Elephas maximus indicus: one gene and its partners. The protein of the gene in region 4 purifies or fractionates together with the protein of the main gene of each other region. This does not show direct contact. Links are inferred from orthologs where the notes say so. Each region holds a gene or a part of one and is shown on either strand. Other genes may lie near its edges. The genes, in order: MAP3K14, SQSTM1, HSP90AB1 and IKBKG.

What was found.
Region 1: the proteins of IKBKG (region 4) and MAP3K14 purify together in Homo sapiens (affinity purification with mass spectrometry; 6 studies listed by BioGRID and IntAct, counting the BioPlex papers as one, with this or other methods). This does not show direct contact. The link is inferred for Elephas maximus indicus from reciprocal best matches to the Homo sapiens genes IKBKG and MAP3K14.
Region 2: the proteins of IKBKG (region 4) and SQSTM1 purify together in Homo sapiens (affinity purification with western blotting; 3 studies listed by BioGRID and IntAct, with this or other methods). This does not show direct contact. The link is inferred for Elephas maximus indicus from reciprocal best matches to the Homo sapiens genes IKBKG and SQSTM1.
Region 3: the proteins of IKBKG (region 4) and HSP90AB1 purify together in Homo sapiens (co-immunoprecipitation; 4 studies listed by BioGRID and IntAct, with this or other methods). This does not show direct contact. The link is inferred for Elephas maximus indicus from reciprocal best matches to the Homo sapiens genes IKBKG and HSP90AB1.

Annotation. Positions count from the first base shown.
Region 1 is NC_064837.1:51,659,080-51,666,926, reverse strand, and holds the start of MAP3K14 (mitogen-activated protein kinase kinase kinase 14), read left to right. Parts: upstream 1-4,837; 5' UTR 4,838-4,938; intron 4,939-7,847.
Region 2 is NC_064820.1:202,022,213-202,029,322, forward strand, and holds the start of SQSTM1 (sequestosome-1), read left to right. Parts: upstream 1-4,101; 5' UTR 4,102-4,148; coding exon 4,149-4,353; intron 4,354-6,446; coding exon 6,447-6,542; intron 6,543-7,042; coding exon 7,043-7,110. UniProt on the Homo sapiens protein: Molecular adapter required for selective macroautophagy (aggrephagy) by acting as a bridge between polyubiquitinated proteins and autophagosomes.
Region 3 is NC_064819.1:108,807,119-108,814,315, forward strand, and holds the start of HSP90AB1 (heat shock protein HSP 90-beta), read left to right. Parts: upstream 1-4,188; 5' UTR 4,189-4,301; intron 4,302-5,718; coding exon 5,719-5,865; intron 5,866-6,488; coding exon 6,489-6,695; intron 6,696-6,805; coding exon 6,806-6,965; intron 6,966-7,123; coding exon 7,124-7,197. UniProt on the Homo sapiens protein: Molecular chaperone that promotes the maturation, structural maintenance and proper regulation of specific target proteins involved for instance in cell cycle control and signal transduction. Undergoes a functional cycle linked to its ATPase activity.
Region 4 is NC_064846.1:1,893,288-1,900,713, reverse strand, and holds the start of IKBKG (NF-kappa-B essential modulator), read left to right. Parts: upstream 1-4,412; 5' UTR 4,413-4,577; intron 4,578-7,426. Other genes in the region: G6PD (glucose-6-phosphate 1-dehydrogenase), read right to left, coding at 2,854-2,981, 3,833-3,992. UniProt on the Homo sapiens protein: Regulatory subunit of the IKK core complex which phosphorylates inhibitors of NF-kappa-B thus leading to the dissociation of the inhibitor/NF-kappa-B complex and ultimately the degradation of the inhibitor.

The DNA of each region.
Region 1 (7,847 bases), on a different chromosome or scaffold from region 4:
AAATTTTTGTATGAGACTGATTTGTAAACTTTCACTTAAAGCACAATAAAAATTCTTTAAAAGATTTACCCATTTTTCATCAGTCTTCCACAAAACCAATTGGCAATTGGCTCCTGGAAGACCTGTCTCTTTGAAGAGCCCTGCAAACAGGGGGGCAGGAGCTCTGGAGTCACACTTGGTTTGAATCCCTGATCTTCTGTTACAGCAAAGTGACCATGGGTCAGTTACTTCTCTCTGAGCCTCAGTTGTTTTTGTTTTTTTTTATCTATGAAATGGGTATGATAACAGCAGTACTTACTCCTTGTAGAAAGGAGCCCTCATGGTACAGTGGTTAAGGGCTTGGCTGCTAACCAAAAGGTTGGCAGTTCAAACCCAACAGCCGCTCCACAGCAGAAAAATGTGGCAAGCTGCTTCCATAAGGATTTACAGCCTTGGAAGCCTTAGGGGGCAGTTTTACTCTGTCCTATAGGGTTGCTGTAAGTCAGAAGAGACTCAACAGCAACGGGTTTGGTTTTTTGGACTCTATGTAGTTAAACTGCAGGAGTTCTCAACTGGGGGTGATTTTGCCCTCATGGGAATTTAGCAATGTCTGGAGACACTGTTTGTTGTCACAACTCTGGCTGGGAGGGACTACTGGCATCTAGTGGGTAGAGGCCGGGAATGCTATTAAACATCCTACAGTGCACAGGATAGCCCCTTACAACAAAAAATTATCCAACCCAAAATGTCAATAGTGTCAGGGTTGAGAAACCCTGGATTAGAGGTGAAGATTTGGTGAGATCATGCCCAAGAAGCAAGTACTTACCAGTGTCTGGCAACTAGTAAACACTCAAAAAATAGGAGCTGTTATTCTGAGATTTTTCTTTGTGGAAGATCATGGTCTAACCTTTCTATTTCCAGATCCAAGCCTTTGGGGTGGAATGTGGAAACCCTTGAGCGCTGAGAACCTTGCTCACTGCTCCAGGTGTGAATCACTCTGTAAATGTCAATTTCTTTTATTGAAAGCAGAACTGAGGCCATACCAGTGACTCAGGACTAGGAGCCATCCCAGGCTGTGGTGACCTAACTAGCCTGGCGTGGAGGAAGTGATTTTGCCCTGAAGCTCTCCTTCCAGGGGGTGCAAAATGAAGCATTTCAAGACTCAGAGACTCCAAGGGGCTCACTTGAAGGGGCTTAGAAAGACCGAGAAAAGCAGCCAAAACCCTGCTTGTCTCCAGATATCTTCCTCACTGGGTGGTTTGTTCCTTCCAGGACTTTGAACTGATTTGTTCTGGTTTGAACTCCTGCTGCAAATTTGCATTTTTGGTAAGTTCCCAGGTGATGCTATGCTGCTAGTTAGGGACCAATTCTGAGAACCACCAGTAGAGCAGTGGTTATCAACAATTATCATCTATAAGATTCACCTGGGGATCTTGTTTAGCTGTAGATTCTGATTCAGTATATCTGGGACCAAAAAAAAAAAAGCCAAACCCAGTGCCATCGAGTCGATTCTGACTCATAGTGACCGTATAGAACAGAATAGAACGGCACCATAGAGTTTCCAAGGAGCCCCTGGTGGATTCGAACTGCTGACCCTTTGGTTAGCAGCCATACCACTTAACCACCATGCCACCAGGGTTTCCATATCTGGGACAGAAAGGCAAATTCTCAGCAGGAGTTCCTACCAGTTCTTTCCCTGGTTCCTTCCCTGCAACCTAACGTGAAATTCCTTCTCCAGAGCCACAGCTTTGGGCCAAAGAGTTCAATCTCTCCCGTTAATCACATTAGTGTTGTCATTGTTGTTACATGCCATTGAGTCAGTTTCTACTCATAATGTCCCTATGTACAATAGAACGAAACACTGCCCAGTCCTGCACCATCCTCATCATCGTTGCTATGTTCGAGCCCCTGGTTGTAGCCACTGCGTCAATCCATCTCATTGAGGGTCTTCCTCTTTTTTGTTGACCCTCTACTTTACCAAGCATGATGTCCTTCTCCAGGAACTGGTCCCTCCTGATAACATGTCCAATGTATGTGAGACAAAGTCTCACCATCCTCATTTCTAAGGAACATTCTGGCTGTACTTCTTCCAAGACAGATTTGTTCATTCTTCTGGCAGTCCATAGTTTATTCAATATTCTTCACCGACACCATAATTCAAAGGCATCAGTTCTTCTTCGATCTTCCTTATTTATTGTCCAGCTTTTGCATGCATATGAGGCGACTGAAAACACCATGGCTTGGCTCAGGAGCACCTCAGCCTTAAAAGTGACATCTTTGCTTTTCCAGCAGATTTGCCCAATGCAATGTGTCTTCTGACTTGACTGCTGCTTCCATGGCTGTTGATTGTGGATCCGAGTAAAATGAAATCCTTGACAACTTCAATCTTTTCTCTGTTTACTGTGATGTTGCTCATTGGTCCAGTCGTGAGGATTTTTGTTTTCTTTATGTTGAGGTGTAATCCATACTGAAGGCTGTAGTCTTTGATCTCCATCAGTGTTTCAAGTTGTCTTCACTTTCAGCAAGAAAGGTTTTGACATCTGCGTATCACAGTTGTTAAAGGGTCTTCCACCAATCCTGACGTCCTGTTCTTCTTCATATATTCCAGCTTCTCGGGGCAGATAACCTTAGTGGGGTGAGTCGGGCATGCAGGGGGCCCAAGATTAGAGAAGTGCCAAGGGAGCCTGGAGAAGGTACGTGGGCACTGTGTACTAGAGAAGGAATGATGAAAGAGAGGGAAGGCAAAGCTGAGCCAGGGAGCATTTGCAGAATCTGGGTCTGTGCCCACGTCCTTCCTGAGAAGTGGTGTGCCCAGAGGAAACAGGTGAGAGGAGAGGCAAGACATGAATCCAAGCCCAGGAATCCAAGCCCACGGACACTAACCTGTAACCTACCATCTGGCAAGCTCCACCTCTCCCTGAGTCACTGAAACACAGAACCCTGGGGTTGGAGGGAGCTTTAGGAGCCAACAGTCCAGCTTCATTCTTACCCACCATCTCCCTGCTAGTCAGTGGCAGAGCCAGGATTTGCATCAGATATCTGGCTCCAAAGCACAGGCTTTATGGGGCCACAACCTCAAATGCTTCAGGGGCAGACAGGTGGCATAAGGTTAAGTGGTTGCACACAAGACAACAGGGGTGGAGGCTGTAAAGAACTGCAGGCGCTGCTAAGGTATTAAATTAAAAAACAAACAAATAAAAACCACTGGGCCAGCCAAACAAAACATGTCTCTGGCCTGGGAGAGTGGGTGAGGCCCGCAGGTTGTGAGTTTGTGACCCCTGCCTAAATGAATGTTGTTGTATGCCCTCAAGTCAATTCCAACTCATAGTGACCCTATAGGACACAGTAGAACTGCCCATAGAGTTTCCAAGGAGCAGCTGGTGGATTCGGACTGCCAACATTACAGTTAGCAGCCTGAGATCTTGACCACCTCGCCACAGGGCTCCGTGCCTAAATGAATAGTCTTCCCTAACACCTTACCCAACAAACACCTTACCCAAGAGAAGGTGTTTGTTGGGTGCCGATCTTCAGAAAGAGGCTTTGAGCTACCAAAGACTGTCTGAAAAGTGTGATTCCAGCAGAGTGGCCTGGCCTTTGTTCAAACCCTTTTAGAGACTGCTCAAGGCAGCTGCCTTTGATGGGGCCTCCTCACCGTTACCATTAGAGCCAGTCACAACTTGTGTGAGTCCCTGATGGGGGGGGGGGTTACCATGGAAGGGGCACATCTTTTATTTCGCAAACTTTTAAAAATAATTTTTGATTTTTTTTTTTTTTACTATGAAGTACTGGCTCACTGTAGAAACACTGGAAAAAAAAGATAGGTAACTTAGAAAATAAAAAATATCCATACCTTCTATCTCTACTCCCTCTCCCCAATCCCTCCTCCCCATTCAGACAGAAGCACTGTTGACACCTCGGTGGTATTTAAACTCAAGTCCTTTCTTTGCATATGCAAGGCTTTAATCTTTCTGGTTTTGTAACCTTTATGGTCCCTATGAGTCGGAGTAGCCTCAACCGCAATGGCTTTGGTTTTTGGTTTGGTAACCTGCATACCCAGCGAGGAGATGCTTCGCCCAGGGTTAGCACCACGTTGTTTCTCTGGCAGGGGAGGCTTTGCATCACGTCAGCCGCACGCTCTCATTGGGCTCTGATTTGAACACACGTTTTTATCCGACCTGTGACCTGTGTAGGCCCTTGGCTCCCTAAGCTTTTCGAGGGCAGGCACCGTAACTTGTCTTACTCGTCCTCAAGGACTCTACAGAGTCAGGCATACAGTAAGTGCTCAACAAAAGTATTTCTAATCCCATCACCCCCGACCTCAGCAGCCTCCGCCTGGCAGCAAAGGGGAAGTGGAACGACACCCGGGAGGGGGTGCGCCTCGCCGTCTCCAAGGTAACCGAAATCAGAGGCTGGGAGTGCCCACGCATGCGCACACTCTCCTTTCCTTCCCGTAACCTCAAGAAAAACGCAACCGGTAAAAAGACTGCCCGCAGCCGAGCGCGCATGTGTGGTTACACCAATCACTTCGGCCGCCTCCGCTTTCTGTCAATCTGTCCGCCCAGCAATCTCTTCTCTATAAACACTGTCCGGAAATAGTGCCCATTTCTGGAAACGAGGCCTCGTTAACCAATCGCCGCTAGAGGGGCGGGACAACGGGGAGAGCCTGGGCTAGTATTGGGCCCGTCTCATTGGTTATCTTGGAGGAGTGGGAGGGGCCAAAGGTCGAGACGCGGCCAGAGAAAGCAGGCGCGAAGAGAGGCAAAGTTGCAGCCGCCGGGGGAGGCGTGGCCCCGGGGGCGGCCGGGAAGGCGATGAGGGGGCGGGGCCCGCGGTCGGGGCTGGGCGTCCGTGGGGCGGGGCGACCGTGGGCTGGGAGCTCAGCGGTCGGTGACCGGCGGCGGGAGATCGTGGGAGAAAGGAGCGCGACACTCGCTGGCTGGAGAAATCGGCGCTCGGCCGGTAGGTGACTGAGCCGGACCCCAGGGCCCGTCGTGGGGCGCTCAGGGGGCGGCGGGGACAGCTTGCTCCTCAGCCCATGGCCTGGCCACGGCCTGGCCTGCCGCCGCCCCTTAAGCGGGGGAGCCGGCCGTCCGGTCCCGCGCGGCCCGGCCCTCCTGGTCCGACCCACCCGCGCACGGGCTGTCGGCAGTCGCGGCCGGCCGCCTGCCCTAGCTCACACGCGCTGCCGGGGCTACAGTCGCACGCTTTGCTCGCTCCAGGCCTCCAGGCCGCTCACCACCCCCCCCAGGCCACACGCTCGCCCCAATCGCCCGCAGGGGCGCGCTGCTTCCCCTTCCCCAACACCCCCTCTTCCACTGCGCTCAGATGCCCCCACCGCTAGGCCGCGCCCTCCCCGCACCCCCCGGGTGCCCTCCAGGATCGGGGCTCTCTTCGCTCCGGGAGCAAGGTGTCTTATGCTGATGTGCGCCCGGCCCGTGCGCCTTGCCACCTGCCCTGGCCAGTGAAACTCTCGTGGCCGTCCCCGGGAAGTTCGTGGGTCACGCTCCGAGGCGGGGAGAAGGAGCAGAGCCTGCCCTTGGCATCCAGCGGGGCAGTGCTGGCCGCCGGAGCATCTTCCCTCTTTCCTCTGGCCCCAGCCCTGCTCTTTAATTCTTCAGCCCTTTCCACTGAGGACATTCTTATCTGCCGGCTAAGATATAATATTACCACTTGGAAGCCCATCGTGGCCCTGGCAACTTGAAGCGACCGGGCACCAGACAGAAAGAGGACACTTGTACAGTGCAGAGGTTCCCACCTGCCTAGGAGCCTCCCTGGTTCTCGGTAAACTTCAGAAACGTGTTTACTTCCTAGCTGAGTTTAACATGTTGCTCTTGGCTCTCAAAAAGGACGAATGCAGAAAAGGTACAGAAATCAGCAGTAAAAATGGTAAAATTATTTTTGTTACTTGGAGCCAAAGAACAGTAGTGATGTTTAAGGACTAAGAACTCTAAAAGCAAATGAAATTAAATGATAAGATTGGACCATGACACAAACTAGCAGTCTGAAGTTTATTCCTGGAAAAAGGTTGAAAACCCCTTGACTAGAAGCATGGTCTTTATGAAAGATTATAGGGAGATTAGTATCTTAACATTTGTGATGTATTTTTTACTTTACTTAAGTATCTAAGTATCTTGATACCTGTAACCCCTTTTTCCCTTCAGACATCTCTGTGCTAAGATAGATAGTATTGTCCTGTTTTATAAGTGAAGTACCTGAGGGAGGTGGTGGTGGGAATTATGTATATTGCCTGATGCCTCGTACATTGATAGTGGGGGACTTGAGCCTGAGTCGCTCAAGTCATTTCTGCACTCCTTCCCCTGGACCAGAACCACATTATGGGACTCAGATGTAGGAAAGAGGGAGCAGTGTTTGGTGTGGTATTTATGCTCTTAATGTGAGAAGACACTTAGAAGGTGCTCGTCTTGCTTAAGATGCATTCAGATTTACTCTTGGTTTTTTAAAGTAATGTCAAAGTTAGTTTCTTTGGTTCAGTGATAGCAGACCTCTAAGATGTTCAGACACCTTTAGGACATCCTCATTTATTTTGAAGGGTGTGGTGAACTTCTCAGAAGGTCTCAAAATAAAAGTTGTAGTCTCTGACTTTAATTTTAGAAATAAGAACCCAGGTATATGTTTCAGCACTTTTGTGAAATCAGACAGCAGTAAGCTGCTAAGTTTTAGGCTGTCTCCTGAGTGTTTTCAGATGATAAGGAGGAGTTCTAAAGGGGTTTTTTGCCCCTGGTATTGTCTGTCAGAGTTTGTGGGAGTGGCACCATTGACAGAGACCCTGCCAGATGAGCCTTCATCTATTAAACAAAAATGTCTGGCCAGGCTGTTTCGCCTCAACAGATGGAGATTTGGTTCCTCATTTTGATTCTCCTGTTGAACATTGCCTCCTTTGTGATCTGCTTGGAGTGTTTGTGTATCATTTCATGCTGAGAAGTGGACTTGCCCTGATTGGCTGTCCAACCCTAGGCAACTGTTGTGATTTTTTTTTGGTGAGTGATAACAGTCCATCCATGACCTGAGTCTAGTGAGAGATCTGTAGAAATGTGAGAGGTGAAGCTTCATCTAGGGCTGTTTTCTTCCTTGTTGGCACCCTCTTAAGAGTGTTCTGTCCCTTTGGCCTATGAAGTCACTTTTAGTTTCCTATTTTTTTCCTGTTTCAATGGATACCACATGGGCTTTCCTGACAGGCCTAGCCACCTTGATGAAGAGCTGACAGATTCACATTGGTTGACTTGACAGATGTACTTGCTTGGGGAAACGTTAAAAAATCTTAAAACCTAATTCATTGCTAAAGAACAAGTATAAGCTTCATACACAATCAGGCAGCATATTTCTACCAAGGCTTCCATCATCTCAAAGCTGTTTTTTTTTTTCCTGGCAAAAGGTTAAAATGCAACTAAAATTCTGCTTTCATGATTAATAAGTCACTACCGCAGTTGTGTCTGATGCTTCCTGTTTGCCCCATTTTAGTGTTTCAGTTAAACTGGAGACATCGGAGCATTATGGGCACTTTTGACGGCACCAGCATGAAATTGACATGGGGGGAAAATCTGTGTCAGTGGATTATTGGGAATTGTAAGGATAAGCCAGCCCCTCTGGCCTCGGAACACCAAGGTCCCTAGTAAGGGAAAGGAGTGCAGCTGAGCAGCTCCAAGGGGTAGCGTGAACACGTAAAATGATGCACGTGTGAAGGCTTTGCATGTACTTGGTGATGCTGACTGAAATGTCGAAAGCAGTAGATGAGAAATGGAAGGCCAGACATAGGGCAAGTTGTGTAGGAGATCATTTCAGTTGAGCTGGTGGGACATTGAAGTCTGTTAGATATGGGGTCTTAAGTTCTGGGCTTGTCTTATAACCTG
Region 2 (7,110 bases), on a different chromosome or scaffold from region 4:
TGCTTTGGGGCCCCCAGCAGAGCCCACCCCAGGGTAGGTCTCTGGACACTGACAAGGAAGGGAGAAGCCGGATAGAGTGCGGAACCCTCCTCTGAGGCACCCCCTCCCCCCACAGCTACAGGGGCGACCCTACGACCAGGAAGGAGCATGTTTCACTTTGGGACCAGGAAGAAGCATGTTTCATTTTGGGACCAGCCTCAGGGGGCCTGTGGAAAGGCTGACCGTGACCTGACCACTTCTGCACAGAGCGAACTTGGCTGTGGGGAAACTGATCCACCAGCAGGCTCTCTCAGTCAGGCCTAGAGCACCGTTCATCGCCTGGCTCTGGAAGAGGTCCACATGAGGAGCAGGGTTCCATGGGCAGACGTGGCTCTCTGCAGGGTGGGGTCGCGGGCCGGCTCCAGCCCACCCCTTGGTGGCCCACAGGTTGTCTCTCCAGTGACCCCTTCTTGGCTTGAGCCTGGCCGTTTCCTTCCTGGACCACACTTTCTTTTGGGGCCGGGCGCCCAGGGCTGGGATCCCCGCTCGAGGGTCCCCAGGCACCGCCCGGTTGGACTTAGTGTCGGTGCAGTTCTTTGGTGCAGGGCTCTCTGATACGTATTTACAGACATGGCCCCGAGCTAGCCCCCGGCCCACCTCTGTTGATGAAACCCATCCCCATGGCCCCATGCCATTGCGCAGCAACGACTTTCCTCTAGTACCGGCGACCCCTAGACAAAATGGTCGCTCCAGCCCTCCAGTAGTCCGGCAGGAGGGCCCGGTGCCCCACAACACTTGGGGTCACTTAACTCTCCAGTCATGTCTCCTTGTGGTTTTAACTTATATTTCCCTGAGGACCAATGACTTGAGCCCTTTTTTCTTATAGAAAAGTCTTCCAAGCCCCTCCTGCCCCTCTTCCCCCTCTCCCTACCCACTACTCTCTTGGCTGGGCCTTGCAGAAACAGCTAAAATGAGGTGGTGTCCAATAGGTGAGAATTTTCCCCAGATGGAGTGGTCAGGGAAGGCCCCACTGAGGTGACATTTAGGATGGGAGGTTGCCATGCAGGCCAGGGAGGGAAGGGTTACAGGCAAAGGGAAGAGCCTGGAAAAAGTCACCAGGTAGAATGAGTTGGCATGTTGGGAACAGTGAGCAGAGGTGTGTCCCTCAGAGTCAATGAGAGGGACAGACAGGTCCAGGGCAGTGTGAGAACCAAGACACTTTAGTGAAGGAGGACTAGAGGCATTCCCACTCCTTGGACTCCTTCCCTGGACATAAAAACTCATCCCTTAGTCCTTATAGGGTTACTATGAGTTGGAATCTATTTGAAGGCAATGGGTTTGTTTGGTTATGGGGTTAGTCCTAGGGGTGGGGTTGGGTGGGACTCATTCCCTTGATCCTCAATTAATCTCCTTTAAGCACAGCCCAGAGCAGCTCAGCCTGGACCCCCTTGTGTCTAGTGGCCTAGCTCTGAGCCCTCACACCTAGGGAGGTTTGACTCCACACCTCAAAGAAAATTAACTGGACTGCAGAAAAACTCTGTCAAATCATTGTGATGGGATTATTTGGGGGGTGGGGCAGGGTGGGATTGAAGAGGTGATTACAGCACACCAGACAGTACTAAACAAAATCGGATGTCCTCCTGGCCCTCCCAGAACCTCTTAACTCAGGTCTCTTCTGTGTCTCCCACTCTTTAACCTTCTCAACTCCTTGTTCTCTCCCCAACCCCCCTCAGCTCACAAGGCCAAAAGCAGACAAAGAACAACTAGCACACCTGAGGGGCCTCACCTGGGTGGGGACATCACATCATCCCACTCGGGCCCCATTTCTAAGATGAGGAAACTGAGAAGCATTAGTCCAAAGGCGGTCTATTGCAGAAGTCTCCAACTCAGGGCCAAGCTTTTCCAGCTTGCTGAGTGCACATGCCCTGGAAAGTGGGAAGCGGGTCAGTGGACACAGGGGAGGTGTCTGGGGAAGGGGGCGGTGTCTCTGCCTCCCACGGAGGAGAAAGACAGAGAATGGCGGCTGTACAGGGAGGGCGTCTTGCTCCAGCCATCAACTAGGTGCCCTGCGGTCCCTCCCCCCACCCCCACCCCCCCACTCCCCCGCCTCTGCGCACTCTTCTTGCTGCGGGGTCCAGGTGGGACTCACGCAGACCCCCAGGGCCTCTCTCCACCCAGTCTCTCAGTAAGATGTCACTGAGAGGGGTCAGTGGTGGCCGGGGATCCGCAGTTCATGATGGCGATCATGGGACGCTGACTCACGGCAGGACCGCCTGACCACCGGGGGGTAGGCGGAAAGGGCCCTGCCAGGGGGTTCCCCAGCGCACAGTCTTGTTTACCTCTCAGCGGGCCTTGGGGGCGGGGAGGGCTGGGCCGTGCTCAACAGCAGAGCTTGCTGGGAAGGGCCGGACCCGGACTAGCCCGGGCAGGGGCCGGTAGCTGGGGGCTGGTGGCGGTCTTCAGGCCTGCTCCCCAGAGCCCATTTCTTGCCACCCCTTTCTCTCTGAGCTTCCCCACCCCTCCCTGCAAGCCCACCACGGTCCCAAACGGACATAAAAGTTAAGAAAGCAAAGGAGTTCCTAGAGGCAGCCAAAGAGTCCCACTACTTGTTTGGGCAAGGGCCGCGCCTTGGGCTGTTCCTGAAACCTGCGTTCCCCTAACCAGATGACTTCACTCTTCAGCCCACACTGTGCTCGGACCCGGACCCTGAAGCTCTGGGGGCGGGGTGGCCGGCCGAGCTGGGGCAGGAAGCGCGCTCTTCGCCCAACCGCCTGGGCTGCGTGTCTCCCATGGGGCGCTGCTGAGTCATACGCCCTCGCTCCTGCCAGCGGCCCCAGTTTTCTTCCCAGACCCTGACCCTTCCGGCAGGGCCGTGGGTCTCAGCGGCTGAGGGTCACCGCGGAGACGCGGGGGGGAGGGGTGGAGAGGGACTCTCCTGTCCACAGCGCTGCTCCGGGCAGGGGTGCGAGGAGCTGTCTGGAGCCCTCAGGGAAAGATCAGCCACACCTGTGGACAAGCCCCTGTGTGCTCCCACATGGAAGTCACTTTCGCATTTGACTATCCCCTAGCCCAACCAAACTTCCCTTGGTCTCTGGGTTTCCCAGCCCTCGCGCTTCCACAAAGCCAACCGTGAAAAAGCATGACAGGACCCCATCTGGGTGCAATATAGGGTGACATACCCTTCCTGCCCAACTCCTTCCAAGGTGTCTCCCCAGGCCTTTCAAACAGGTCTATTTGGTCACATAAAGCAGTGTTTCTAGGCTCATAGCTCTAGGGGAGTTGGTCTGACCCCCTGCCCATGAGGTCAACAAGCTGTGAACTCAGGGGCCCTTGGGCACCACCTGCTGAATTGAACCCTGTGCTGACAGGTGGGCATCTGGGGACTCAGCAGGAGTCTCTTGGGCTGCACTGAAGTGCCGGGTGTAGGGATATTCACCAACCCCTGTCCCCTGTGCTCTCCTAGCACCTCTCAACCTATCTCGCTCACCCATTAAGCTGGGGGCACAGCTGGTGGATGGGGGATAAATCGCCAGGGAGGACGCTGTGTGCTCCCCACCCCCCACCCCCGCCCCGGGAGAGGCTGATTGTCCCGAACGGCCTGGAGGCTACCAAGCTGGCAGGTAGCACCCTGTTCTACCACCCCGTTGTACCACCCCAGGGGGCCTGCTTGCTCTGGCCCGCAGTGCTCACTAGATTGCTTAGGCACCTCCTGGCGTCTAGCCTCTGTGCCCCCCCACCCCCTGCTCTAGGCATCCCTCGGCGGCCTGGGGACACTTTGCTGAGTCATGGCCAGGCCCAGGCCTGGGAGGGACCCCTTGCCTGCCTCTTGCCCCAGGAGTAGAGACCAGAGCCCAGCTTAGACGTCGGACTAACGGGGCGGGCTTCTTGGGGCCCCTGCTGTACTGGGGGCAGTGAGGAGACGGGCGGCAGTGAACGGGCCTCGGCAACCGTGAGGGGGGTGGTCACAGGAGACGTAGGGTGGCAGCGGGTGAGGGGCCCCCGCAGGGCGGCTTGCGCGCGCCGCGGTCTGGAGGTGGGAGCTAGGACTTCGCCGGGAGACCCCGCCCCCAGGTGGCCGGGTGGGGCGGGGCTTCCCGCATTTCCTATAAAGGCCGCGCGCCTGCGGCCAGCGTTGTACAGCTCCGTTCCAGCTCCTTCGTCAACGGGGTATGGCGTCGCTCACAGTCAAGGCCTACCTTCTAGGCAAGGAGGATGCGGCCCGCGAAATCCGCCGCTTCAGCTTCTGCTTCAGCCCCGAGGCGGAAGCCGAAGCCGAGGCCGCGACTGGGCCGGGGCCTTGCGAGCGGCTGCTGAGCCGGGTGGCCGCCCTGTTCCCGGCGCTGCGGCCTGGCGGCTTCCAGGCGCACTACCGCGGTGAGCAGGGCCGGGGGCGGTGGCAGTGACGCAGGCCGAGCGGCCTCTGTACGGCCTGCCCTGTGGGGCTTGGGTGGCTGCCTTTCCTTCCCGTCGATGCCTGATGGGGTGAGGGAGGGCTGCTCTGGCTTTTGGGTGAGCAGTGGCTCGCGGCGGGTCCACACTTCGGCCCCGGGTGCCAGTCTGGAAGTGCCAGGAGTAGGGACCAAGACTCGGTTCCGGCCCAGTTCCAGCTGTTAAGCGCTAGCCCTTTTGGGGCCAGGGGCTGCCACACTCTACGGGCGGATCTCAGGTCTGGGGGCGCCAGATTCCACCCCTCCCCCCGCCATGATGCTGCACAGCTTGGCAAGGACGCGCAGGCGTCCTTTCGGCTTTTCGGGGGCCGCGGGCACTAAGGTTACACTGACATCTTGCGGCTTTGGAGTCTGGGTCCTCTAGCGGGTTCAGATTTACCCCTACAGAGCCTGGGCGGAGCCGACCTGGAGGAAGGGGCGCCAGGGGCGGGGGAGGAATGACGTAGGTAAACAAGTGTGGGGTGCGGGGAACTATCCCGAGATAGTCTCTGCGAAGAGAGGTCGGGGCCAGATCACAGGACGCCCAAGGCCAGGCAGAGTACTGACTATCTAATAGTCTGGAGAGACGGACAAGATCAAAGGTTCTTCAGGAACATTGGTGTAGGGATGGAGGCTGGGAAGCCTTTGCGGGCCCAGGAGCTAGCTTGGGCTGTGCTTGTGTTACAGGTGACTCCTGGGGGTGGGGTTGAGGAAGTTGGTTGTGAAAGGGAGGGCGGAGCATCCAGGGCCAGCCTCTGGGAGGGGACAGTGCTGGGACCTCCCTCAGCAGTGCTGCCAGCCTGCCAGGTCCGCCCCTATCTTTTTTTGGGAATTTTTTTGAGATGTAATTCACATGTCATACGATTTACCCATTAAAAGTATATAACTCAATGGTTTTTAGCATATTCACAGGTTTGTGCAACGATCACCACAGTTTCAGAACATTTTCATCACCTTGAAACCCCATACCCTTTAGCTATCACCCCTACCCTAGCAGTCTGATTACCTCCAGCCCTAAACTACCAATAATCTACTTTCTGTCTCTATAGCTTTGCATGTTCTGGGCATTTCATATAAATGGAATCATGTGGTTTTTTGTGACTGGCTTCTTTCACTTAACATAGCGTTTTCAAGATGTATCCATGTTGTAGCATGATGTAATATTATGGTGGAATACTAGTCCATTGTATGGATATACCACATTGTGTTTTTCCATTCATCTGTTGATGGACACCTGTGTTGTTTCCACCTTTTGGCACCGCCCCTATTCCTGATGTTGTGATCTGGTGACCCACAGGCCCTATTCAGTCTGCAGATGGATGGTGTGATTTGTCCTGCATGGTGGTGGTTTAAAACCCTTTGAGCCAACATCTAAAAATGGGAGACTACATCCAAATATGGTATTTTAGCAGCACTTTGAACAGGTTCATTCAGGTTCCACCTGCTGAGACTTTGCATTTTGACCCTAGATATACTGAATCAGAATCTACATTTTAGCAAGATCCCCCAGGTGATTCTTACATATGCATTTTAATTCTTAAGTAGATTATTATTCAGTATATCTGGGGGGGTGGAAATGCAAATTCTCAGCAGGGGGTCGAACTGGAATGAATTGGTTCTAAGCCCCGGCTTATCTATTACTTTCCTAAACCTTAAGAAGCCCAAGGCCTTTGGAGGGCTGGGTCCCCCAGGAACTGGTCAAAGGCAGGATCTCCCACATTTGAGGATGGGCCTGGTTGGATATGGACCAGGGGCTCAAAAACAGAGCAGGGGGTGGCCAGCTATCACTGTTGTGGTGCCCTGCACACACACACCTGCCTCTGGCATGGATCCAGGGCCCCATGTTGAAGTCCTTACCTTCCTAACAACATCAGAGTGAATGGGCAATCTCACCTGTCATCCCTACCTCCCCCAGTTCACACAGGGGTTCCAGTTTATAGCCCTTGAAATGTCCCTTCAGCACTGGCCTCAGCTGGTTTGAGCAACTTGTATCCATCTGGAAGCCCCAGGTACTCATGTGCTGTCTTTTAAACCATCTAGATGAGGATGGGGACTTGGTTGCCTTTTCTAGTGATGAGGAGCTGACAATGGCAATGTCCTATGTGAAGGATGACATCTTCCGTATTTACATAAAAGGTAAGGGGCTACTCTGGGTGTGACCTGAAGCCAGGTGTTCCCTGCTGAGTAAATATAGGGCTTGAGGGCTAGGAATCTGAGGGCTAGACAGAGTCATAATAAATGCCAAGTTTGCCCTCAGAAAGGAGTCCATGTTCATCATGTACTGAGTGGGGTCTATAGGGTCTCTGAGTCCACTCTTGATGTGCCCAAACCAAGTGCCATGGGGCTGGAGGAAGCGTTGGGGGTACAGTACAAGCTTTATTTTAGTGAGGAGCAAAGCCAGAGTGTGCCAGCACAGCTCTCTGCTGCTCCTCAGCTGGCTGGGCTCTGCATGCCCGGTTTTCAGGTGCAGGGATTGGGACTCTCTCAGCAGGTTCTTGGGTTGCTTTGTTACTGTCACCTGAGCAACTGAATTCTGTGTGGAACTGGGTGTTTCATGAACAGCCCCACAGAGGTGATGGATGGGGGAGAACTTTGGAGGTGTCACCTCAGTGGCTCTCTCCACCCTTCCCCCACAGAGAAGAAGGAGTGCCGGCGAGACCACCGCCCGCCATGTGCTCAGGAGGTGCCCCGCAGCATGGTGCAT
Region 3 (7,197 bases), on a different chromosome or scaffold from region 4:
TATGAGAATTTGGGGTCTGTATCCCACTGATCTCCTGCTCCCTCAGGGGTCCTCTGCTGTGGTTCCTGTCAGGGCAGTCATCGATTGTGGCCGGTCACCAACTAGTTCTTCTGGTCTCAGGATGATGTAGGTCTCTGGTTCATGTGGCCCTTTCTGTCTCTTGGGCTCTTAGTTGTCGTGTGGTTCTATTACTATTTAGCTGAGAGTTTTTATCATGAACGGGTGTTGGTCTTTCTCAAATGCCTTTTCTGTACCAATTAATAAGATCGTGTGGATTACATTGATTGTTTTTCTAATGTTGAACCATCCCTACACACCTGGTATGGATCCCACTTGGTCATGGTCAATTATTTTTTTGATATGTTGTTGGATTCTATTGGCTATAATTTTGTTTAGGATTTTTGTGTCTAAGTTCATGAGGGATGTTGGTCTGTAATTTTCTTTTTCTGTGGTGTCTTTACCTGGTTTTGATATCAGGATTATGCTGGTTTCATAGGATGAGCTTGGGAGTATTCTATCCTTTTCTATGCTCTGAAATACCTTTAGTAGTAGTGGTGTTAACTCTTCTCTGGAAGTTTGGTAGAATTCTCCAGTGAAGCTGTCAGGGCCAGGGCTTTTTTTTGATGGGAGTTTTTTAAATTACCTTTTCACTCTCTTCTTTTGTTATAGGTTTATTTAGTTGTTCTACCTATGTTTTTCTTAGTTTAGGTAAGTGGTGTGTTTCTAGGAATTTATCCATTTCCTCTAGGTTTTCAAATTTGTTAGAGTATAATTTTTCATAGTATTCTGTTATGATTCTTTTAATTTCAGTTTGGTCTGTTGTGACACCACCCATCTCATTTCTTATTTGGGTTATTTGCTTCATCTCCTGTTTTTCTTTTGTCAGTTTGGCCGACGGTTTATCGATTTTGTGGATCTTTTCGAAGAACTAGCTTTTGGTCTCATTAACTCTTTCAACTGTTTTTCTGTTCTCTATTTAATTCTGGTCTAATTTTTATTATTTGCTTTCTTCTGCTGCCTGAGGTCTTCTTCTGCTGCTATTTGTTTGAGTTGTAGGGATAATTCTTTGATTTTGGCCCTTTTTTCCTTTTGTATGTCTGCATTTATTACTATAAATTGACTTCTGAGCACCACTTTTGCTGTGTCCCAAAAGTTCTGATAGGAAGTGTTTTAATTCTCATTTGATTCTATGAATTTCTATATTTCGTCCTTAATTTCTTCTATAACCCAGTAGTTTTTGAGCAAGGTGTTGTTCAGTTTCCATTTATGATTTTTTTCCTTGCTTGTTCTGTTATTTCTACTTTTATTGCTTTATCATCAGAAAAGATGCTTTGTAATATTTCGATGTTTTAGGTTCTATTAAGGCTTGCTCTGTGGCCTAATATATAGTCTACGGTAGAGAATGTTCCATGTGTGTTGGGAACGAAATATATTTGGCTGCCACTGGTTGGAGCGTTCTGTATATACCTGTGAAATCATAACCATTGGTTTTGGCATTCAGATCTTCTGTCTTTATTGAGCATCTTTCTGGATGTTCTGTCCTTCTCCGAAAGTGGTGTGTTGAACTCTCCTACTGTTATTTTGGAGCTATCTTTTTTCAAAGCCATTAAAGTTTATGTACTTTGGAGCCCTGTCCTTGGATGCATAAATATTTACAATGGTTATATCCTCCTGGTATATTGACCTCATGGGTTTTTGAGTTTTGGTCCCTCTCTTGGATCTCTGTGCCTTTCCATACTTCTCCCTCTCCTGGGAGTAGACCTGTGCCATACCCCTAAGCATGCCCCCTTCCCCAGCCTAAGTTGGGGCCTCTGCTGCTCCTCCCATACCCCTCTGTCTCACACTTGGCCTGCTACAGCTCCACTCAATTGGGGGCTCCTTGTTCTGTGTGGACATCCCTGCATCCCCAGGGTAGAGCTCTTGGACACAGGTAGAGGTCATCCTTACAGACTTCCTGGACAAAAAGGTGGAATTTTTGCACTGAAAAAGGTGGAATTTCTGCACTGGCTCAAGGTTTGAGATTTTCTCATTTGGGGAAGTGCTGGAAGAGGGCCCTATTGTGACAGAGCAGGAGTCCAGTTCAGGGGAAGCCCATCCACAGGAGTAATTCCTGGTCCATTTTGGACTTGGGTCTCAGAGGGGAGACAGCACCCCCCAACCCATTTCTGGAGCAGGGACAGAGCTGGAGGAACAAGGGCTCTCAGCTGAGTGATTCTGGTGTCACTGAAACCTGCTTTTCCCTGTCCATGGAAGGCGGAGTTGCTTTTACCTCCCTCAAGGCTGTGAGATGTTGTGAATATGTTCTTTGTGACTGGGGAGCAGATTTCTGAGAAAGGGTATGCTGAGATATGAGGTTCTGGTTAGAGATCTGATCAGAAACAGAGCATGCTGGAGAATTCCTGACAGCATGGCCTATGAGACCCCCACACTCATCGGACTTCTCGTGGCCCTAGGCTTCTCATAGATCCTATAAAGGCACGTAGAACGGCAAGGTAAGATAAAAAGTGTGTGGTGGCAGCAGAGATTATGGGATGGAAGAGTGCCGCGGCAAGAAGAGAAAAGCAGGAGTCTTTCGTTCTCTGGAATTCAACAAAGAACAAAGAATTTGAAGGAAGACCGGGTGCCAGGGCTGGTGAGGGAGCACCGAAAAGTGGTGGTGGGGGAACCCCTCCCCAATATTCCAGGTGCAGAGAAGACAGGGAAAGGAGATGATGAACATGTACACAACAGGGAGTCACCATTCTCCCCTGGAGGAGCTGTGAGTCCTGCAGGCTTCCCGCAGGAAGCCTTGAAAAGGCAGAACAGCTTGCCAGCCGGAGAGGAAAGCACGAGGGGCAGAGAGGCAGGAGAGGCTTGGCGTCAGCAGCTCGCTAGGCAGGCGCACGGCCTGGTGCTCCGGTGCTGCAGCCAAAGGGGAACAAATTTGGTTCGGGTCGTCTGGAGCGTGCTGTCCTTCGGCCAGCATATTCATGCCGCCTCTGAGACCTCCGTCACCCTGCACAGGTCCCTGGAGATTCCACCACCGCCCCCCCCCACCGCCCACAGGCCCAAGGGAAAAAAAAAAAATAAAAAAACAGCTTTCGAAAAAACGTCTACGTGCTGGTGTAGGGAGGATGCAAGTCCCTGCGCCCCCTGCACGTGGGCGGCAGCAGGTCCCGGGAAGGTCCTTGGTACCGATTTTGTCCCCAGCCGCTCGGTGAAGTCGGCGCCCGGGGAGCCGCCCCGGGAGCCGCCCCAACAGCCCATGTGTTGTGTGACTGATAGAGTAGGGGAAAAAGTGTCAGTAAATCTCCCCGTTTACGCTCCACTCCACTCCACTCCTCCGCCCCCATACAAGGCTAGTCTCGCTGGTCCGATGGGCAGGTTTGAGCCTCCGGCCGCCTACACTAATTCGGATGAAAACCGAAGCGCCGCACAGAACCGGCGCAGAGACGCGGCCCCGGCCGCAGTGGGAGGGGCGAAACCGGTAGGACGAGCGGGGGCGGGGCCATCCAGAGCAGCCTAGAAACTGCTGGAAGGTTCGCAGTACCTCCACCGCTCCTTCCGCCGAGCGCCGGCAAAAAGTTCCCTTGCCAGCTAGCGCCCCTCCCCCCAGCCGTCGCCCAGCCCCCTAGCCAAACCCCGGCCCATCTTCCTGTTCCCAGGTGGGCCGGGGTTGAGGGGTCTGTCCGGAAATTGAGCCTCGCGTTCCACACAGGCCCGGAAGGAAGCCCCACCGTCTTGTTGAGATGTGTGGAGCGTTCCAGGAGGACGGCTGGGCCTGGGAGCTGAGGTGGCGTGGTTAGCCGCCCACACCTAAAACTGTGGTCTTTTCCAGATATTCCCCCCAAATCTAGAGAGAGCCAGCGGCTACTCAATTTTTTTTTTAAGGTCACCATTTATGCTATATAAACACTCCCAATCCCCCAATCCTGGTGGGGTCATGCCCTTTATCTGCAGAGAACGGACTGTGAACACGATAAAAGACGTGTGTGAACACACAGTAGATGTTACTGATGCAGTGATCCAGCGTCTGTGGAGCCAGTCGGCTTCTTCTATTCCTCCCCGCATCTCCCCCCAGCACTCCATGTTGGACCATGACGTCAGGTGGGCGGGCGGCTGCAGGTGCGGTGCTGACGGGCATCCTCCTTTAAGGCGGAGGGATCCCGGGCCGGGGTGCCGGGTTGTGCTTCGCTTTATATAGAGCGAGTGGGGGCGCAAGGCAGGTCTCTTGAGTCTCCGGCCGCGCGGTTTTATATCGTGCGAGCTGTGCACGGGCTTTAGCTAGGACTCGTTGGTATTTGTCACCCTTCCCATTCAAGGTAAGGCTGGGATCTTCTCCCCGGCTTTTCTCCCGCGAGCGTTTCTTTGAGTTGTTCTTTTCGCGTTTCCAAGTTCCAGGTATTGTGCGGGAACGGCCTTGGGACAAGTCTCCTTTTCTCTCAGGAGTGGGAAGGGGTCTCGAATTTGTCTTCGTTTCATTCCGTTTTTATGTGTTTGGGTGATGGCGGAGTTTGCCCTAGTTGGCGACTAGCTCCGGGCGAGGTGGGACGCAGTGTGGGTCTAGAGTGGTGGTCAGCCGCACGTGGTGGCCGCGCGGGTCCGGTACGCTGCCATGTTGGCCCCTACACTTCCGGACGTGGCTACGGGGCGCACAAGGGTCCTTAAGGTTGTGGGTCTGCGCGTTTGAGGTGACTCAGCACAGCCTTGTGAAGCCAGCCTCACTCGCTGACTTGCTCGGTGTTCTTCAAGTCCAGCAGATCCGTTTTTTGGAGGGTCCGTGGCGGGGGTGGGATGGGACACGGACGCTTTCGGCGTTATTCGGCCCCCCGTGTTTCATCCCTGTTTCCAGATCTTTCTGGCATTCCGGGGGGGAGGGGCTTTGAAGGATTCATGGGTTCTGTATCACTCCCGCCCCTGACGAGAACTGGGTTTGTTCTGGAAGCTTCTGGAGCCAGGCGCCCCGCCCCGGTGCCCGGATGCTGGGGCGGAGGCGGGCTGTGCGGCGGCGCCCCCTCCTCGCGTGGCCGCAGCCGGCGCATGTCCGGCAGTGACGAGGGTCGGTCCGGCGGGCTGCGGCCACCATCTTAGTTGTTTGCTCTGGTTTTAGGTTTTAGTTTGTAGCTGTGGGGTCGTGTTGGAGCTTTTGTTTTCTCGTTCTTTGTCCTATTTAATTGCATTTCATGGACAGGTTCTCCATCGATCCTCATGTTGCCTTCCCCTTCCGCGTGGGCCAGCATTCTTGGTGCCTGGACGGTTCCGTATTCTTCGGAATTAGACATTTTTAATGGAGGACTAATTTTAATTAGTGCTGTTTCAGTTTTAATTTAGTATTCAGGTTGTTTTAGTCTTTACGTCGAAAACGGTAATGCTTTGCATATGTGAACCTGTATTAGTAGGGTTTTCTCTGGGCGTTCAAAATACCTGGGGTAGGGCCGGTGTTCTGTGTTTTTTAGCACGGTGCTAGAAAACGAGGTTCCTGGGCCAATGAGTAGCAGTGCTTTACTTACCTTCCCCCCAAAAATTGTTTTGTTGAAATGTTCTAGGTTTTTCTGAAAATCATAATAGAATAGGGCCTCCAGTTTCTTGGCAGTGAGTAGTGCTCAGCCCAAAGTCCCTTGAACTAAACCACTTTTTAGTCTTGATACATGGGCCGGGGTGGAATTTAGGGGTTTGGGACTGAAAGGGCAAACACTGGGTATTCTGTTCCTTTGTAATATCTGATTGTTCTTACTGCAGATGCCTGAGGAGGTGCACCATGGAGACGAGGAGGTGGAGACCTTTGCTTTCCAGGCAGAGATTGCCCAGCTCATGTCTCTCATCATCAATACTTTTTATTCCAACAAGGAAATTTTCCTTCGGGAGTTGATTTCTAATGCTTCTGATGTGAGTTTCTGGTATAGTCCGAGCATTCCAGAAGAGGGAGATGGGTAGTTTGACATTTGGTTGGGGCATCTATTGAAGGAAGGAACCCCTGGTAGCACTTTGGGCTGCTGGCAGTTCCAGCTTACTGGTGAAGGAGAAGAAACCTGGAGAGTTCCCATAAAAATAACAGCCTAGGAAACTGGGGCAGTTCTGCTCTGTCCTGTGTGGTCACTGTGAGTTAGCACACAAGAACTGTTGGAGTGAACCGTACCCTGTTGAAGGGAATGAACCTTGTTGTCTGTGGGTCCATGTTGAGCTTCAAAGGGAGGAGAAGGGGGTCTTCTTGGAGACCACTTACCTAAGTGACTGGTTTTTTAGCCTTGTTTTAAGGGGTAATCAGAAATTGGGGCTGTTTGGGAGTAAAAAGGAGCCTTGGTGGCTGCTAACCAAAAGGCTGGCAGTTTGAATCCACCAGCTGCTCCTTGGAAACCTATATGGGGCGGTTCTACTCTATGGTTGTATGAGTCCGAATTGACTTGATGGCAGTGGGTGGTTTGGGAGTAGAAAACCTAAGGGTTTTCTTTGGATGAAGAGATGGAGCTTAAGGAAGCAGATTCTAAAGCTGTTACTTGTATTATTTTCAGGCCTTGGACAAGATTCGTTATGAGAGTCTGACTGACCCTTCTAAGTTAGACAGTGGTAAAGAGTTGAAAATCGACATCATCCCCAACCCCCAAGAACGCACTCTGACGCTGGTGGACACAGGCATTGGCATGACCAAGGCTGATCTCATAAATAATTTGGGAACCATTGCCAAGTCTGGGACCAAAGCATTTATGGAGGCTCTGCAGGTATGTAGCATTTTAGCTAGGCACACACCATTTACATTCATCCACGTTCTTCAGCTTGCAGTTCTTTCAAAACTGGCCTTTTTTTTTTTTTTTTTTTAACTCTTTGGTAGGCTGGTGCAGACATCTCCATGATTGGGCAGTTTGGTGTTGGATTTTATTCTGCCTATTTGGTGGCAGAGAAAGTGGTTGTGATTACGAAACACAATGATGATGAGCAGTATGCTTGGGAGTCTTCTGCTGGGGGTTCTTTCACAGTTCGTGCTGACCACGGTAAGTACTGTGGATTTTGTGTTAAAGATTAAAAGTCTTAGAATTGTTTGCGGGTGTTCTGTAGTAGAAATTTTGTTACATCGTGAAGCAGTTTGTCTTACAGTACAGTTACATGGTCTTATCTGTTACGTTCAGTTCCACGTGACTTCTTTTTCTAGGTGAGCCCATTGGTCGGGGTACGAAAGTGATTCTGCACCTTAAAGAAGACCAGACAGAGTACTTAGAAGAGAGG
Region 4 (7,426 bases):
TCCTATCAGATGGAGGAAGATACATCCTTCTAGGTCCAAGGTTCTTTCCCCCACGCTGGTCCATAAGGAGAAACTGGTTTCTTTCATTTGAGCTTTCTGGGCTGGGATCCCTGCCACTGGGAAAGTGAGCTCTTCTACTCCCTTCCTGGGTCAGGGGTGGGGGTGGGGGTGGGAAGAAAGGCCTGAGAAAGGGGAAGTGGCCACATAGCAGGGAGACAGGGGCTCAAAGCTCGTTTTGTAACTCTGTGAGGCAGAATCAGGCTGCCCCCAGGAAGAAGCTGCAGTGTGGGTTTGGGTTGGGTAAGTGGGTGCAGGAGGCAGGAGGGGCAGAGCATGGCCACATGGGTCTGACCTGCTCAGGTTCTGGGCCCGCTAGCCACTGGCCTCCTGTCAGCTTCTAGGTCACATCCAGTTTGCTCTGACTCAGGGCTTTGCCTCTGCTCTTCCCTTTGCTCAGCAAGTTCCCCTGGGGCCTCGTGCTGCAGACCTCAGTATCAGGTGCCTCCCCCTCCCCAGGGCCCACCCTGACCACACCTCTCAAGGCCTCTGGCCCCCTCCCAGCCCTGTTTGTTTCTCCTGTCACAGGTACTGCTCTGAACTCACCTTGCGTCCCCAGCCTCCCATAAAGCACAGGGCCATGAGGGCAGGGATTGTGGCTGCTGTGGTCTTGGTGTTGCCCAATGCCTAGCACAAGGCCAGGGACAGCAGAGGCCGGTGACGGCTACTTGTTGAATGAGTGAGCAGAGAACGCAGTTTCCCAAAGCACCACCCTGCCTACCTCTGCAGCACAGGATGGGAGCTGTTCCAGGTGCTATCAGAGCACCCCGGGTGGATGCCCCCACAATGCTCCCTCTAGTCCTTGCTCCAAGGGAGGACCTGCCCACCCTGCTCCAGTCCCCTCAAGCAGGAGAAGAGTCAGGAGAGAAACAACACAGGCTCTTAGGAGGACCCCTGGCCCTGCACTCCACGCTGCGAAGCCAGCACTTCCCATCTCTGCTTTGGAACCTCTGGCTGTTGCCCCTGGGCAGAGGAGAGCAAAGGGGAACCCTGCTGGTTGCGTTGGAATAGCGTTGCCTAACCCCAGGCTAAGGAGCCCTAGTGGTGCAATAGTTAAGTGCTTGGCTGCTAACTGAAACACTGGTGGTTTGAACCCACCCAGCGACTGGGCGGGGGGAAGATCTGGCAATCTGCTTCCATAAAGATTACAGCTTAGAAAACCCTATGGGGCAGTTCGACTCTGTCACAGAGGATTGCTCTGAGTTGGAATCGACTCGATGACACCTAACAACAACAGCCACCACCACCCCAGGTTGGCCACAGGCGAAGACAGCAAAGAGCCATAAAACCAGCTCGGCAGAGCCTGTGGACCCTTGTCATTCATTCAGAAACGCTCAATTGATATGTGCTGAGGTCTAAAGCCCCAGATCACACAGCCTATCTGGATGCTGTCAATGATGAGACCCAAGACTCTACAGATGAGTCTTAACCCATCTGTGTGGGACCTGGCAAACTCTGTTGGTGTATCCTTGCAACAGGCCAGTGTGGGGATGGGGAAAGGAGAAGAAAAAAATCCCGAATTATTTTCTCTTTGAGCCTGTTTCAGGGACTAAGGGCCTCACAGCCAGGATACTAGGTGTTAAGGTTTGTGGCTGATGCAGATATGACTCCTCTAAGGGGACCGTGTGCTTTGCCTGGGTGGGGGTGGACAACACCCACCTTTCTCAGGTTTTGGGGTTCTGGGTGAGGCAGAGGGCAAAGCCCTTTTCTCTCGTACTGGCTCTTCTCCTAGAGTACAGCTCATTCTAGCTTGCTTGCCTTCTTGTTATTTTCGGCTCTCCTTCCCAATTTCTGACCAAAGACACAAAGGCACAGAGCAGGCTCTGTAAAGGGTGGCGGCAAGTTGTTCTCTGTGAACAAAGAGCTGCCAAGTGCCTCCAGCACGAGGGGGAAGGCAGCCTGTGGTGTGAGAGTTGCAGAGCACTGCCCACTCTGTACGGCTCTAGCTAGTTTGGGTAGAACTCTTGCTCAAGATTACATAATCAGTTAATGGCAAAGATGGCCATATGAATGCTAACAGGTTCTTGGTCACACTCATGTTTAAGTCAAGAGGCAGCCCTGGCTGCAGGTCTAGCAAGCCCCTGCACATCTCACGCAAGGCAGATCTTATCTGCATATAGCACACTGGATAGGGGCTGTGGTCCGGGGGCCACAGCTTTACTAGGACCACCCCCTCGGCCCCCCAACCTCTTCCTTACATGTGCTATACCTCTGCCTTTATATTGATTCTTTGTCCTTCCCTATCAAAGCAAAATGGCAGTTCCACAAACTAGACACTTGGGGTGGGACAAGGAACAGCTCTTTAGCAGGCCTTAGCGGTTGGGGAAAAGATATGGTATGAAAAGCAAAGCTGAATGTTTGTCCCCAGGGATGATGAGGTGGTAGAAAGAGGTGATGATTGGGCCTCAGATCTTTCCTCTGGAACAAATTAACTGTGTGATGTTCATCAAGTCACCGACAAGTTTGAAAAAGATGCTCCCAGAAAGAATAGCTTCCCCTGTCTGCGGCTCAGTTTTCTCAGTGGAGGGGGAGGAAGTCCCTCAGGCCCTTCCAGTTTCAGGTCTACTTTCAAGGTCTGAGCATGGATTTAGAAATGCCTCCCAAGTGTCGGTACAGCAAGGAGTGCTGTGATGACAGTGGTGCCTGGGCAGGTCACGGTTATAAGAGTGAAACCTCGCAGTGCCTGAGTGGCCGCTGCACAGTTAGTTGGGATAGGTCAGGTGCAGAGCCAGACGATGCCTTGGGCAATGTCACACAGTAAGTCTGGCTTCTGAGATGTGGCTGTGGGAGACTCACCGAGGCGCCCATGATGATGAATATGTGTGTATCAGACTGGTGGAAGGCATCGCCCTGGTACAGCTCTTCCCGGAGGATCCCGCACACCTGGGTCCGGCTCAGGGCCACCTGCTCAGCCATGGTGTTCTCTGGGGAAAGAAAGGCTCGTTGACAAGCCCACAGAGGAGAAGCACCTGGAAGGGGGCCTCTAGGCTCTCAGCAGGCTGACGCCTGGTTACTGAAACCACTGGCTGTGAACGTGCCCGGGGCGGCCAGGTTGGGTTAGAAACTCTTGGCTCTGGGCTCTGGCCATACTTTCCCAGGCTCCAGCCATACTCTCCCAGGCTGCCTTCTTTCAGGGAGTACATTCTGGACCTCACACAACACGATCATGACCCTTTCACTCTAAAATCCTGCACTCAGGCGGGAACTCATCAATGCGCGGGATCCTGGTAAACTTAGCGGATGATGGAGTCCGCTTCAGCTCTACTGCTGCTAACCTGGGCGACCCCGGGCAAGTCCCCCCTTCTCAGGGTCTCAATGTCCTCACTGGCCCGATGAGAGGGGGGTTGCATTGGACACTATGATCTGTTAAGGCCCTCTCACTCGATCCGCTACCAAGTACAGCAAATACCGCCAATCCAAAGGACGTCTTGAGGTAGCGAGCAGCACGTCCTTCCGCTCTCTCGGTCCGCCCGACTCGGTTACCTGTACCGCCTCGCTGTCGCCTGCAGCGCTCGCAGCCCGGGAGTGCGCGCTCATTTCCGGGGGCTGCGCCCCGCGAGCCCATTTAACCGGCGGGGCGGGGGCCTCAGCTGAGCTGATGGGCCTCAGGCGAGGCGCGCGGGGCGGGGCCTCGACAGGCCCCTCCCGCGCGGGGCGGGCTGGGGCGACGGTGCGGGGGTGGGGGGAAGAGGACAGGTGCGCGCGCATCCCCGGCCCAGCTCGCGCGCCAGCCAACCCCCCCCTCCACCCCGCTCTCACTCCGCCCCTCAGGCACCTGCGCCGGCCGTCAGGCCGTGGACTGGCTCCCGTCCCCGTTGCGGCTGCTCCGCATCACCGGCCGCCTCTCTAGGGGTGAGGCTTCGCGCGGCCTGGTGCAATTCCGCGTCGTTCACCGGAGTCCCCATCTCCAGCCCAGCCCAGCCCCGCCCTGACATCCTGGTTTTCCCGCCAGCCCCCAGGCGACCATGAGCCCTCGCGGAACGCTCGACTTCCGCCGGCAGTGTAACCACGCCTCCTCTGGCTCCTCCCCCTGGCTTCGGGGCAGGGGTTCTGAAGCCCCGCCCCCTCACGGACCGGTCGCCTGCTCTCGCGGGTCAAACCGGCCCTATTGGTTGGCCTCGTCTTGGCTCCTCCCCCGATAGGGGCGGGGCGATCGATCGCCCCGGGAGGCGAAGGGAAGTGGAGGTTGCAACGTCTTGGAAAAGGGCAGGTGGCTCTCATCGTTTGGATTCGTGGTCCGCGGGACCTACCGAGGATGGTGGACTCGCGCTTTCCTCGGTGCAGGCCTCGGCCTTGAGGGAGGTGCCCGTGCAGCTCTCGAACTCACCGGGACGGGGGCTTGCCAGATTCACTTCCGTATCCCACGGCTCCGACACAGGAAGCCGGAAGTGCAGGTTTCGGCTGCAGGAGAAGGGAAGGGCGACCGCTGAGCCGGGACTTTGTTGGAGCGCTGGGGATTGTAGGAGCGCTCGCGCCCCGCTGCCCCTGCCCTTTTCGCATCGGACCGACTCTGCTGACAGGTGTGGTCCTCTTCCCTGAAGACAGGGTACCATCGGCGGGCGCTCCGCCGCCTCTCCTAGACTCCCCGGGTTTTCCGGACTGCCCCCTCCTTTTGGGCCCCGGGCTGGTTCCTGCCGCGCGCTTCTAGAGCACCGGCCGAGGCAGGCGGATTCAGGATCCAGGCTACTTCAGCGGCTAGCGGGACTGTTTTGGCACCCTGTCCCTCCGCCGCGGGGTCTGACTAGTGTGAAGAGGACTCTTTCCACTTAGGAGATATTTTTTTTTTAGTTAAGAGATATCTTCTGTCTATCAGACTTGAATGCATTTGAGGGCGTTAAGTCATTTAAAAACACCTCAAATATAGCAGCTAAATGTCTTACCTTGTATAGCTCAGTTTGGTCGCTTTGCAAAAACAATTAGTATCTGCCGAACCTCATCCCATCCCTACGACCTGAGGATGAATGAGTTGTGCCTGGCTTGTTCAAGGAACGGCAGAGCAGGCCAGTGTAGCTGGGGCAGCGTGAACAAGGGAGGGAATAGTTGGAGAAGAAGGAATAGGGACCAGATGGGACAGGGCCCTGTAGGCTGATGTAGGGACTTTGGCTTTTACACCGAGGGCAGTGGGGAGCCATGGCATGGTTCTGAGTAGAGGAGGAACATGATCGGAAGTACCTTTTAGACTGTTTTTGCTGCGTTTGGGAGAACAGACTTAGCGGGGCAAGGGTAGGAGCAGGGTGACCTGTTAGGTTATTGCAGTTATCCAGGTGAGAGACCATGGTGCCTTGGGCATTTTATTATGGACAATTCCAAAGATGTACAAAAGTAGAGAAAATAGTATAGTAAATCCCATGTACCCACCTTCCAGCCTCTACAATTATCAATTGTGGTTAATCTTGTGTAGTTTATACCCTCCGCAACCCTTTCCCATTATTTTTATTACTGTTAATAACACCTAATGAGATATAATTCACGCACCATACAACAAACACCCTTTTAAAGTACACAACTTAATGACTTTTAGTGTATTCCAAATTGTACAACTATCTCCACTACCTAATTTCACAACATTTTTATCACCTCAAAAAGAAACTGTGCCCTTTAGCCATCATCCCTCATTCCTCACCTGCCTCCTCCCAGCTGCTGGTAACTATAATCTATTTTCTGCATCTACCTGTTCTGAATATTTCATATAAATGGGGTCATACAGTATGTGTTCTTTTGTGATTGGTTTCTTTCACTCAGCATGTTTTCAAGGTTCATCCATGCCAAAACATGTGTTAGTACTTTAGTTCTGTTTATGGCCAAATCATATTCCATCGTATGTGGATGTGGAGCTCTGACGGTGCAGTAGTTAAAAGCTCAGCTGCTAACCAAAAGGTTGGCAGTTTGAAAGTTCGAATCCGCCAGCTGCTCCTCGGAAACTCTAAGGGGCAGTTCTACTTTGTCCTATAGCGTTGCTGTGAGTTGGAATCGACTTGATGGCAGTGGGTTTGGGTTTGGTTTGGTATACAGATGTACTAAAAAAAAAAAAAAAAAAAAGATTTTGTTTATTCGTTTATCTGTTGATGGCATTGGGATGGTTTCCAGTTTGGGGCTGTTGTGAGTAATGCTGCTGTGAATATTCACGTGTGGACATGTGTTTTCATTTCTCGAGTGTACTCCTAGGAGTTCCCCCATTATTTTGAAGCAAATTTCAGGCATCGTATAATTTCATTTGTGAATATTTGGGTTGCATTTTTCTAAGAAAGGATTTATTAAAAAAAAACAAACTTAACTGTGATATCCTTATCACATCTAACTTAACATTAATTGCTTAGTGTCATCAAGTGAATTTGGGGATGCATTTGATAGGACGTTCAGATGGATTAGATGTGGAAGAAAGGAGTCCAGAATGATTCCAGGGTGTCTGTCTTGATAACTGGAGAATGGATTTGCCATCAGCTGGTAACGGGGAAGGCCGGGTGGAACTGGCTTTTGGGAACTCTCAGGGGTGCAGTTTTAGATCAGTTAATGTTGAGAGCACTATTAGATATCCAGGTAGAGATTCCGTCTGGCCTGGAGATCTCTGATTTGGGGAGCCATCAGCGTTCAGTGATGGGGCTTAAAACTGTGAGACTAGATGGAATTCTCAGTGGAGTGAATGTAGCTAGAGAAGAGGTCCCAGGACAGAGCCCTGGGGCACCCCAACATGAAGGGATGGGGAAAAGAGGAGGATCCAGCAAAGGAGCCTGAGCAGGAGCAGCCAGTGAGGCAGGAGGGGAACCAGGGGAGTGGGAGGTTCTGGAAGCCAAGGGAGGAAGGTCTGTTAAAGAATCGGGGGGGAACCCCAAACCTACTGCTGTCGAATTGATTCTGACTCATAGCGACCCTCTAGGACAGAGTAGAGGTTTCCATAGAGTTTCCAAGGAGCGCCTGGTGGATTTGAACTACAGACCTTTATGGTTAGCAGCTGTAGCACTTAACCACTATGCCACCTGGGTTTCCAAGGAAGAGGGAGGAATCTAGAAGTTCCTCCTCCACATAGTCCTCCCGGGCAGGATTTCAAAGGGCTTGGGCTGCTCTCCTGCATGACCTACCTCCACTCCACAAGAGAATACAAGCGGCTCAGGCTGGCTCTTTGCCCCACTGTCTCAGGCTGAAGGCTCAGTTTTCACTTTCTGATACCTCAGCACCGATCATATGCCGGGGGCTCCTCACTCCCACCCCCTGCCCCCAGCTCCAGGGAACGCTCACCAGGCTCTGAATGGTTTAAAAAAAATGTTTTTTGATAGTAAATCCTGGTGGCTTAGTGGTTAAGAGCTACCACTGCTAACCAAAAAGCAGGTTGAGTCCACCAGGCCCTCCTTGGAAACTGTATGGGGGCAGTTCT